2 linked regions of the Schizosaccharomyces pombe genome follow. Changing the gene in region 1 together with any one later gene gives a genetic interaction. Each region holds a gene or a part of one and is shown in the gene's direction. Other genes may lie near its edges.

Evidence for each region. Genes that interact genetically often act in the same process or in processes that back each other up.
Region 2: mutations in alp16 (region 1) and pfd3 together harm fitness more than expected from each alone (negative genetic interaction), as found in Schizosaccharomyces pombe (2 studies listed by BioGRID).

The regions. Positions count from the first base shown.
Region 1 is NC_003421.2:431,426-437,279, reverse strand, and holds alp16 (gamma tubulin complex GCP6 subunit Alp16), read left to right. Parts: upstream 1-2,493; 5' UTR 2,494-2,605; coding exon 2,606-4,885; 3' UTR 4,886-5,016; downstream 5,017-5,854. Other genes in the region: ribosome biogenesis protein Rix1, read left to right, coding at 1-1,343; SPOM_SPCC306.11 (uncharacterized protein), read right to left, coding at 5,641-5,854. UniProt on the Schizosaccharomyces pombe protein: Component of the gamma tubule complex that is required for the regulation of both interphase microtubules and mitotic bipolar spindles.
Region 2 is NC_003424.3:599,708-603,731, reverse strand, and holds pfd3 (prefoldin subunit Pfd3), read left to right. Parts: upstream 1-2,213; 5' UTR 2,214-2,246; coding exon 2,247-2,257; exon of another isoform or gene 2,258-2,306; coding exon 2,307-2,405; intron 2,406-2,449; coding exon 2,450-2,849; 3' UTR 2,850-2,906; downstream 2,907-4,024. Other genes in the region: SPOM_SPAC3H8.08C (transcription factor), read left to right, coding at 1-1,672; inositol phosphorylceramide synthase Aur1, read right to left, coding at 3,548-4,024.

The DNA.
Region 1 (5,854 bases):
CTGAGTCAACACATACTGGGGTTTTATGCTCTTCTTTAAAGTTACTTTCAAAGTTTTTGGATGTGACACATATGAATGTCCCTCTTTCAAAATACGAAAATATTGTAACGCTGGTATTAGAATATCTTGCTAATTCCTCTAAAGGTTTAGCATCCAAATCCATAGAGTTCTCTAAAAATCGTGGGCATTCTCAAAAAAAGCGAAAAACACTTTCTGAAAGTCAAGCAGGAGATACACTTATGAGTTCGGAAGAGTCTCATCAGCTTTATGATTCAGATGTCATGGATTGTTGTTTTTCTTTTTTAGCATCCATTTTGACTCATTCAATAGCATTACCACGTTTATTACGGACCAAAATAGATCTTTGCACCTTGCAGATATCTTTGTCTAACCCTACCTCAACAGTTTTGATATCTATGCATAATTTACTCCTTGCGTCAATTTTATCACCGGGAGATTCACAAGCAGTGATAGTACCTCATGCAATACGTATAATTTCTGGTCCATTAGGGCTTGTACATCCAGATCCTCTGGTCGCTTCACACGCAAGGTCATCGATGCAAACAATAGAATCGCTGATTCATCCTAGGTTCCCACCTTTGCAAAAACATCTTTCACCAAGCGAATTTGAAAATACGTTTGAGTCAAGATTTGAGCCTGTTTCTCTTGAAAACCAATCGCATATTTCTCCACCCCAGGTGGATTCTCAATCAGAGTATAAAGAAAGTAGTATTTTGGCTCCATCAAATCCTCCCTTTGAAACAGAGTCGATTACAGATTCCACTGAAATTGAAGGGATCAAAGAGTCTTTTGCATCTACAGATACAGGCTTACAGAATAATTCTACAGCTACCTCCGAGAACAAAAGAAGCGAATCAGAGCTGACTATGTCTAATGTTCTTTCTAATGAGGGTGACAGAAATGAAGAAGGTAGTGAAATCAACTCTTCTCAACCTTCAACTATTAATCACGGGACTGATCACATTAACATTGTTTCGGAAAACAAGGAAACAACTGTTTCACTGTTGCATGGAGATGTTGAGGTTGAGGAGACTACAAATGTTGCATTAAACAATTCTCAGGACACTGAAACCAAATTTACTGCTATAGACGTTGACTTTGTTGACCGACCTACTAGTGTAGTTTCAAGCCAAATTGAAAACATAAATGGTGATGAAAATGGAAACACAACTTCTTCAGTCGTCGAAACTTTTGAAAAAACAACGGATGTCGTAGATGAGAAAACGACTTCTATTAATGTGGAAGGAAACGGAGAAGATGATGAGGAGGAAGACAATATCTCTTTGCCAAGTATAAACTTGGAATCTGATAGTGATAGTTAGTCTTAATTTATAAAAAGGATTTGGGGGTACTGAATGTTTATTTTAAATTCTATTTCTAGATAAGTAGGTTGTCATTTAATCCAAGCTGATTTTTATAAAGTCCTGTATGTATTATCGTCATGGCAAAAAAGGTACATCAAGCTGATATTTGGAGGTTAAAATCAATTGATTTTGACCTCCAGAATACATTGCTTATGTGTTCTCCTTTTTAATTAGCTAAATTTTCCAGTAATACAAAGTACAAAGTCTTGTGTTATCCGCAAAAATTTTTAATTAATCATTTTTATACCATTGGTGTCACAAAAATCCCGATTATTTTAGAGTTAGACTGTCGTTTATGTTTTTTGAGAAAGAATTAAAACAACTTATCTAGTCTAGTGTTTAAAAGAATTTTATACTGTTTCATTAAGAATAATGAAGATATCCCTTTCCAAAGGCAAAAGAAAAGTCGATAACTATATAATGCAAGCTTCTAAACAAACTTGAATTAGTGATTGCAACATTTCTTTTGCCAACAATATTTAAATCCTTCATTGCTTGACACATGGTTTTATGAGAAAAATTAAGAAAGAACATTAAGTACTTCAAATAAATTTGTTGAAGGATCCAAAATTCTCCAAATAGACTTTTTTTATATGAAGATACCATTCATTCAGCTTTGACTCGCATGCGAGCTCTCTGGACAATAAACGATCAAGCCAGCGAGGTATACTGTAACCATAATATCACGAATAGTACAATAAACTTTTTTTTAAAAAAATCTAAATGTACTAACCAGAGAAGCATAAAAGAGCTCTTATAGTTCCATAAAGGATACGTTTTATCCACATAGCACTCTCTTAAAATTAAATGCTGGAATGTCGTTTTGGATAGATTATGCAATTGTGCAATAGTAATTCCTTAACAACTGATAGTTTTTGTTCAATTTATCATTCTGTTTTATTCATCCTGGATACCTTTAACTCCATGTCAGTATTTTCTGTTGTACGGCCACGAGAGTACGGATTTTTGAATTGGTTTCAATGTTAGGATCAATTACTAACGTTCCATTTCTTAGTTTAAGAGACGCATACTTCATTCACATCTTCTAATCCTGACTGTTCTAGATAAGAAGTCATCTTAATTCGCTACGTTAACAACATTATACATTAACTACACACATATTGCCAAATTTTAGTAATTCATAACAAGAGTGTTTTCCAGTAAAGGAGTTGGATCTTGAAATGTACCACTAAAATAGATGATTTTGAAATAAAAATGGAATGGATGGAATTATGAAAAACGACTTGTTATGGTTCGGCAACCACGTTTTCGACCTTACGCCAAATTCATTTGATTCTGATTTTGTCGAGCAGCTTTCGAAATTTGAGGGAAAAGAAGGATTGAAGAGGAAGTTATTTGACTCCTCGGAATACTTTCAAAACTTTTCATTTCAAGTAAACGATGATCTGTTGGGAAAAGATGTCATTCTCGATATTTCAAATCAACAACTAACACCCGCTGTGCCTGGGTGTGAGACATCATCCAATTCCAAACTCATAAGCGCATCTAAGGAAATTACTTCAGAAAGAAAAAGAGCTAAATCCTCAGTGTCCCCCTCTTATCTTACAGATTCATCACCCAGCGATTTATCTGTCGAAAACAAAGTTCTGCTAACATGCCCTAGCTGGGATGGAGAAAATTTTAAAAATTTAGAAGCTAGATCTCCATTCATATCTGAAGCGCCTTCTCGGGTATATGATTATTTTCTTCATAATCAGGATTGGAGTCCGAAACCATTATTTTCTGCACTGCAAGTTTACCCTTTAGCAACTATTTTCAATTGCGTGGCTGGTTTACCACAAGGATTTGAAAGCACAGTGTTTCCATGGAACAAAACCTCAAGCACATTTGAACTCGATCCGACCATCTCCGTTTCAGGAATGTCCGATGAATGTTTTGCTAGTATCGTCCAGAAATTTTCTGCAATTGGGGGTTTAATAAAAAAAGCTTTAAATGAATTCTCTTTATACAAGACCAACATTTCTTTTTATTTATCAAATTTCATTGTGAATGGTGTCTTGCAGTATCGAAAGGAGTTTCAGCGTTGGCTTCGTCTTTATGAGTTCCGTAGATTCGGTCTGATTGGTTTAAGTAACTTTGTTAATTCTTTTTCTTCATTCTTTGAGTTAATTTCACACTTCTTAATAAAATCGGCTCAAAACCTAAAAGGAGATTCCTTGTTAGATTTTCTTTTTGATTATGCGCGTTCATGTCAGAATACCATATCTTACCCCATTGCCCTACAGTGCTTGATATATTGCTCAAATCCCTACTTCAAAAGGCTTGAGCTTGCTTTAAAAGTTTCTTGTGCGTATGGTCACATTGATTCTTCATTGTTCTTATCACTTCCCCGTTTTTTTCCTTCTGAACTTTGTGTAAGCATTGAACAGTGTATTCAATTTTTGTCATTAATAAGGGAACAAAAAGAAATATTTAATAAAAACAACAAAGAATTTATTAACCCTTTGAACATTCGGTTCGCATATTCTTTCAACGACATAAATCAAGCTTGTGTAATAGAGGAGCGCTGCAACTTTTCTTCGCTTTCTTTTGGTAATTTGGAACAAACTTCCGTCAATAATGACAGTGAAGAATTTGAAACGCTGCTTGCTAAAATGAACATGACTCCAGATTTCAACGATAATTTATTACAACTTAAATTTACAGATGATGTGCGCAACGTCTGTCCGCTTAACTTGAATGTTTGCTGCTGTATTGCTGAGCCAATACAATCTTTTATTCTCAGTTTCTTACGTTCGACATATAAAGTTTTAAAAAACGATTTTCAGGTGTTTGATCTTTTAAATTTTTTTCATTCCACTTTTCTTTTTCAAAATTATGAATTCTCTGATAATGTCATTTCTCTGTTAAAATCAAGAAGGCTTGATAAATCTGACCGTAATGAGTTGGCTGAGGACTTGAACTCTGATGACAGATATAATTTTATTTCTCGATTGAAAAAATTCATTTTTATGGAAAAAGAAAAAAATGGGTTGAGCAGGTCTTTATCTAAGAGTATAACTTTTACATTGGATTCTGCGAGCGTTAGTGAATTTGAGGATGTGTACCCTGATTTACAATTCCAATGCCAAGTAATAGGTGCTTTACGGATATTATTTACTGATAACTCTTTAAATTATTATTCGAAAACTTTTTCTTACGTTTTACATCTCTTTCAAGCTCAATCAGACTTTGAATCATCTGTCGAATTGAAAGATCGTTCTATAGTAACAAAAACAACTATTATGTCATGGTCTAAGTATCAAGGCACGAAAGAATCTCTTTTTCAGTTTCTTTCAATATACATTCCAGAGTGTATGTTGCCTTTTACGAAATTACTGAAATCCATATATTCTCCTGACTGTCCTACGAACATACAAAATTCTGCAATTAAAAATGCGGCTTCAGTTCACGAGCAGTGCACTAAAGCAATTTATCAAAAGGTCAAAGAGTTGTTTGATACCATGAAACTCTGGGAGTCATCCATCAAAGTGTCATAACAAAAAACCAGATCCGGATGACGGATTTTTACGAGTGTAAACATGCTAATCTCACCTTTAAGTTTGAAGAATATACGATTTTACAGCAGAAAAAAATTTATAAGCACAACACTTACAGAAAATTCCTTGCATAAAATGATAAAGAATGTAAAGAAGTATTTGGATAAATTCATGAGTAAAGTATTTACTAGAGATATATCTTAATCTAAGTTTAAACAACCTGTGCCAAACAAAAGGAAATTAATTTAACAAAGAAAGGGATGAAGAATTAAAAGGAATCAAAATAGAAATGAACAGTCAAGCTTATGATTGATTGTTTGAAGATCAAACATATCAAGGTAAAGTGCCATGATCACAGGAAAATACGCAATGTAGTTTAGTAAGTTATTTTGGTGCAAAAATATATGCGCTTTAATGGTGGAACATACCAGTATGTCCCACTTAATTTGCTCGTTCAAAAAATGCATGCAAAAAAAAAAAAAAAGATACAAATCTGTAAATACCTCACGCAAATATAAGAGTGCAAATAAAGACATGTTGAGAAAAGAGTAGAGGCAAAAGCCAAAAGATAAAAATCTTACTGGACGCCTATCACTTTGGTGAAGTTGAGGGTAAACGGACAAGGAATGCATGAAAAAGGAAGGAGGTAAGTGATAATTTAATGTTAGCAAGGAAGACATGCAAGTAAGGAACAAGTGCCCATGTTCCTTATTTTAGATTTTTTTTAAAGAAAAAGGGAATCTATGCGAAATCCTTTACCACAAGAAGGCATTGTCACGGTAGTTAAAGACACTGGTAATGTTTGGATTTATTTTGGAAGTAGTGTTAACAATAACATGGTCATCGGCAACAGGGATACGACTGTCGTTGGTATATACACAAATACCTTGACCTTTATAGCCAATATTACGGCAAGTAGCACCACCAAATGGAGTGCGCAAAGCAGAGTTACAATTAACGGGGTATTGG
Region 2 (4,024 bases), on another chromosome or scaffold:
TTTAAAGAAATTTCGAAAACGCAGCCCAAAATCATGTTTAATTTGTAGGCGCCGCAAGGTCAAATGCGACCGTCAGCAGCCTTGCTCTCGATGTAAAGAAAGGAACGAGGTTTGCACTTACGCAGATGATACCATTGATAAAATGAACGTCGGACCACATCCTAGTCATAGCGAAAATGCTTCTGATTCTGAAACCACACTGGAAGTTTCTCCCGATATTAATCCGAAAAAAAATGAGAAATTTGATTTTTATGGATGGAGATCACTCTTTGAGTTGATTAAATATAGAAAGGATAGCGACATGTGCTCATCTCGACCTTCGTTTTCAATTCAGGCTTACAGTAGCTATAAAGATAATGTGGTTGTTGAGAGTTTGGCGAACCTTTTACCGCCATTTTGCATATCACAGAAAATTGTTAATTTATTTTTTAAAACACTAAATGTTGTCTGTCCTATTTATGATCAAGAGACAGTAGAAAAAAGCTTAAACAACATTGAATCACCAGAATCTTTTTCGTACGAAGATGCCTTCACTTTATTACCAATTATTGCTGCAACTATCCAGCTGAGCGATTTGCCTGATGTTATTCTCAATTTTTATAATTCGGCGGGGATTACTCCATTGGAATCCAGCCGTCTTATAAATTTAAAACTTAACGAGATATCCGAGCAGGAATATAAACATTTATGCTTGCCTGATAAAGAAATAATTCAGATGCTGCTTTTGCGAGCGTATGCAACAAAATTTCGCACAAGAATAAGAGGAGTGAATACTGACTTATGTAGAAGCATTCACGTATCAACCTTAGTAACTCCCCTCTTCCAAGTTACGGAAAAAATAGGAAAAAATACGTCAGATTTGTGGTTTGCTCTCTGTGAAATTGATGGTTTGGAATGTGTATTAAAGTACCGTCCGCCATTCATTCAACACGACACTTATGGTCGTCTCAAGCCGCTTCGTTGTTTTTTTAATGACGATATTAGCTACAATTTTCATCTACTTCTTGGAAGGTTACTTGATTGTGGTGTTTCAATCTATAAATCTGTTCATTCACTCACCGTTAGTAAATTCATTGATAAACTGGAGAGTTATGAATCACAGCTTTCGCTTATTTTGGTAGATATAGAAGCAAAGTTTTATGACCCTTCTAATGAAGATATTCAATTTCGATACATATTTTTGAAAATGGTGTTCTGGACTGCACGTGTGAATTTGTATCAATGTTTTATTACCCTGGATTCAGGGATTTTAGAAGATGAAGAAACTATTATTGGTAATTTGGGTGAAAGTTGTATTCAGTGCGTGAGGCTACTCATATCTCAAATCACTATATTAGAAAAACGAGGCTGGCTTTTGGTAGCGTTGTTGGAGATTATCCACGCCCTCATGTTGGCTGCGTTTTGCCGTGATAAAGGCTTTGAGGTGCCTTCTGACTTAGGTGACATAACATTATATGTACAAGAAAGAATGGTTGATATCGTAACATTTGATGATGGCATGGCTGTCCGATTTGGATATGTTTTAAGATTCATCAACAGTATGTTACACCCAAATGAACCGCCTATGCAAGATGCAGAACCTGAAACCACGGAGGATCCCTCTAAATTATTCGCTGACATTTTTGATTTTACTTCAAATTACTTTATACCGTCCGCCCTTCTTGATCAGTGACCTAAACGAGCACTTTGTAATTTTTTTGTTTGTATGATTGATTAAATTTCGATTAATGTTCCAAAGTGGTTCTAATGTCAAATTTATCTGCTCTTTTAATGACTCTCGTTTTTTAATGTAACTATTTTTGGTTCAATATAGACCATTTAGGAATTAACTTTCTTACTATCCTTCTATAAAGTTGTCTTTCAAATACAATTTTTTCAACAAAACTGCCTTTTCCAAACAGAATATGTTTAACTAAAATATGTGATTTCAAGTAATTAAAAAACGTTTAAAAAGTTTAGTGATATAAAACTCTCGCTAGTACTTTCAAATGAAAATGCATTACGCTGCGCAATGGTTCTATACAGGTTATGGTTGGTAAATTGGATGAATAGATTTTGCAACAATTATCAATTACATGTGTATAACCAAAATATTCTGCCTATTTAGACTGTGTAGTTCAGACTTGGTTAGATTTGGTAATTAGGGAATAATACGCATTTCCAAATTTGTAACATTACTATACCTATTACCTTTGACACTCAGTTACCTGTTCAAAACAACCGCCCCTTTTTCTGTTGCATAGAGAATGAGTTCTTCGTATGTACTGAAGTATAATACTTTTTAAAAAAATAACTAATATGAATAGAAATCCACGGGGAATTCCACCCGCTCAATTTTTTGAGTTCAAAGAGTTATCTATGGAGGAAGCTCAAGGTCATCTCGAAAAGTTCCAAGAAGCAATTGCGTAAGGATATATATGTTATTTCATATTAATATAATGTAATTTAGAAAGTACAAATTCATGGAGACTAGTGTGGTCAGGAGAGTTGCTAGTTTGGATGACAAAATTCCTGACATTCGAAAAACGTTACAGAGTGTTCAGTTCTTGAAAGAGCGACAAGGTGACTCTTTTACTGTTACATATGAACTAAATGACACATTAAATGCAAAAGCAGAAGTAGAAGCTAAAGACAATGTCTACCTTTGGTTAGGTGCAAATGTTATGCTTGAGTATACGGTTGAAGAGGCAGAAGCATTGTTAACGCAGAAGCTGAACTCAGCGGAAGAAACATTGAAAGCATGTAAAGAAGATTTGGAATTTTTGAGAGCTCAAGTCACTACAATGGAAGTGAATACAGCTCGCGTGTATAACTATACAGTTTTGCTTAGGAAAAAAACAAAAATGTAGTTAGTCAAAGCTGCTTAATTTCTTTATAAATGTTTCCAAAATATATTATCATTTTAACACATTTGCTTATCCTTAATGTCTCTTTAGTGTGTGTAACAAATGATAGAAAAAACTATATTATTATAACAATATTCTTATTTTAGAAACGTATAACCAACATTTGTATAAAAACGCTTTACAGAATAAAAAAGGATTACATTAATGCTCCGTTCTGGATTTTCGTGCAAACAAGCAATAAACTAAATGAATAAAACAAGCCTTCTCACACACATTTCAAACCAAATTTAAAATTATGTCAAACGATTTAAATCACAACAAATAAGGAAAATGAAATTCTAAATGTGTTCCTTTCACAACAGTTGACAGTGTAAGAAGCTGGATAAAAGAGTTCTTTATTAACGGAAATGATAAAAAAACGACAAATACCTATACATCACACTGGAAGATACCCGGCCTAATCGCTGTTAAGAGTTTCGAAAAGGAAGTGGAGACCAAAAGCGGTATTAATACCAAAATAGCTTCCTTCAAAATTAGTGATACAAATTAATTTTACAAATTGTAAAGAATGACTCAATGGATGTCAGATTAACAGTTAAAAAACACAATGAACAACATCATTCCAATACCACTATGAATCAAACCGATTCTAGTCAATGTATCATGTAGCTTTTGGAAATATATTCTTAAAGCACGTTGATTTAAGGAAGATGACTTGCATCAAAGATGGAGGAAGTGGTACTGGCAGGACGATCAATCAAATCAGCAGCAGGACTAGGTAACGGCTCAGGTGATGATGAACCCACGGACCATTCATGATCGGTGTTAGCAAGTTCCATATTGTTAAGACCACTCATGAAGGCTACTGCATTAGGGTTTTGAGTAAAAGAATCCCTTCCAAGTAAGTATGGGCTGCCGGTACGAGCCAAGGAGTTGCTGGTTTTTTCGGAAAGACCATGACCGTGGATAACAAACTCGTATTCCCAACGAAGGATTTTACCAGTTTGCAACTGTGGGAGGCGTAGCTTTTGAGCAAAAACGAAGCATATAATAGCTAAACACATACCGCCGACCAAATCTACAAAGTAGTGGTGGGTAAGGTACATAGTACACCAGCAAAGCCATAGAACATATCCATAAAAGCAGAAGCGGTATCGAGGAAACACATGCGAAAGGAA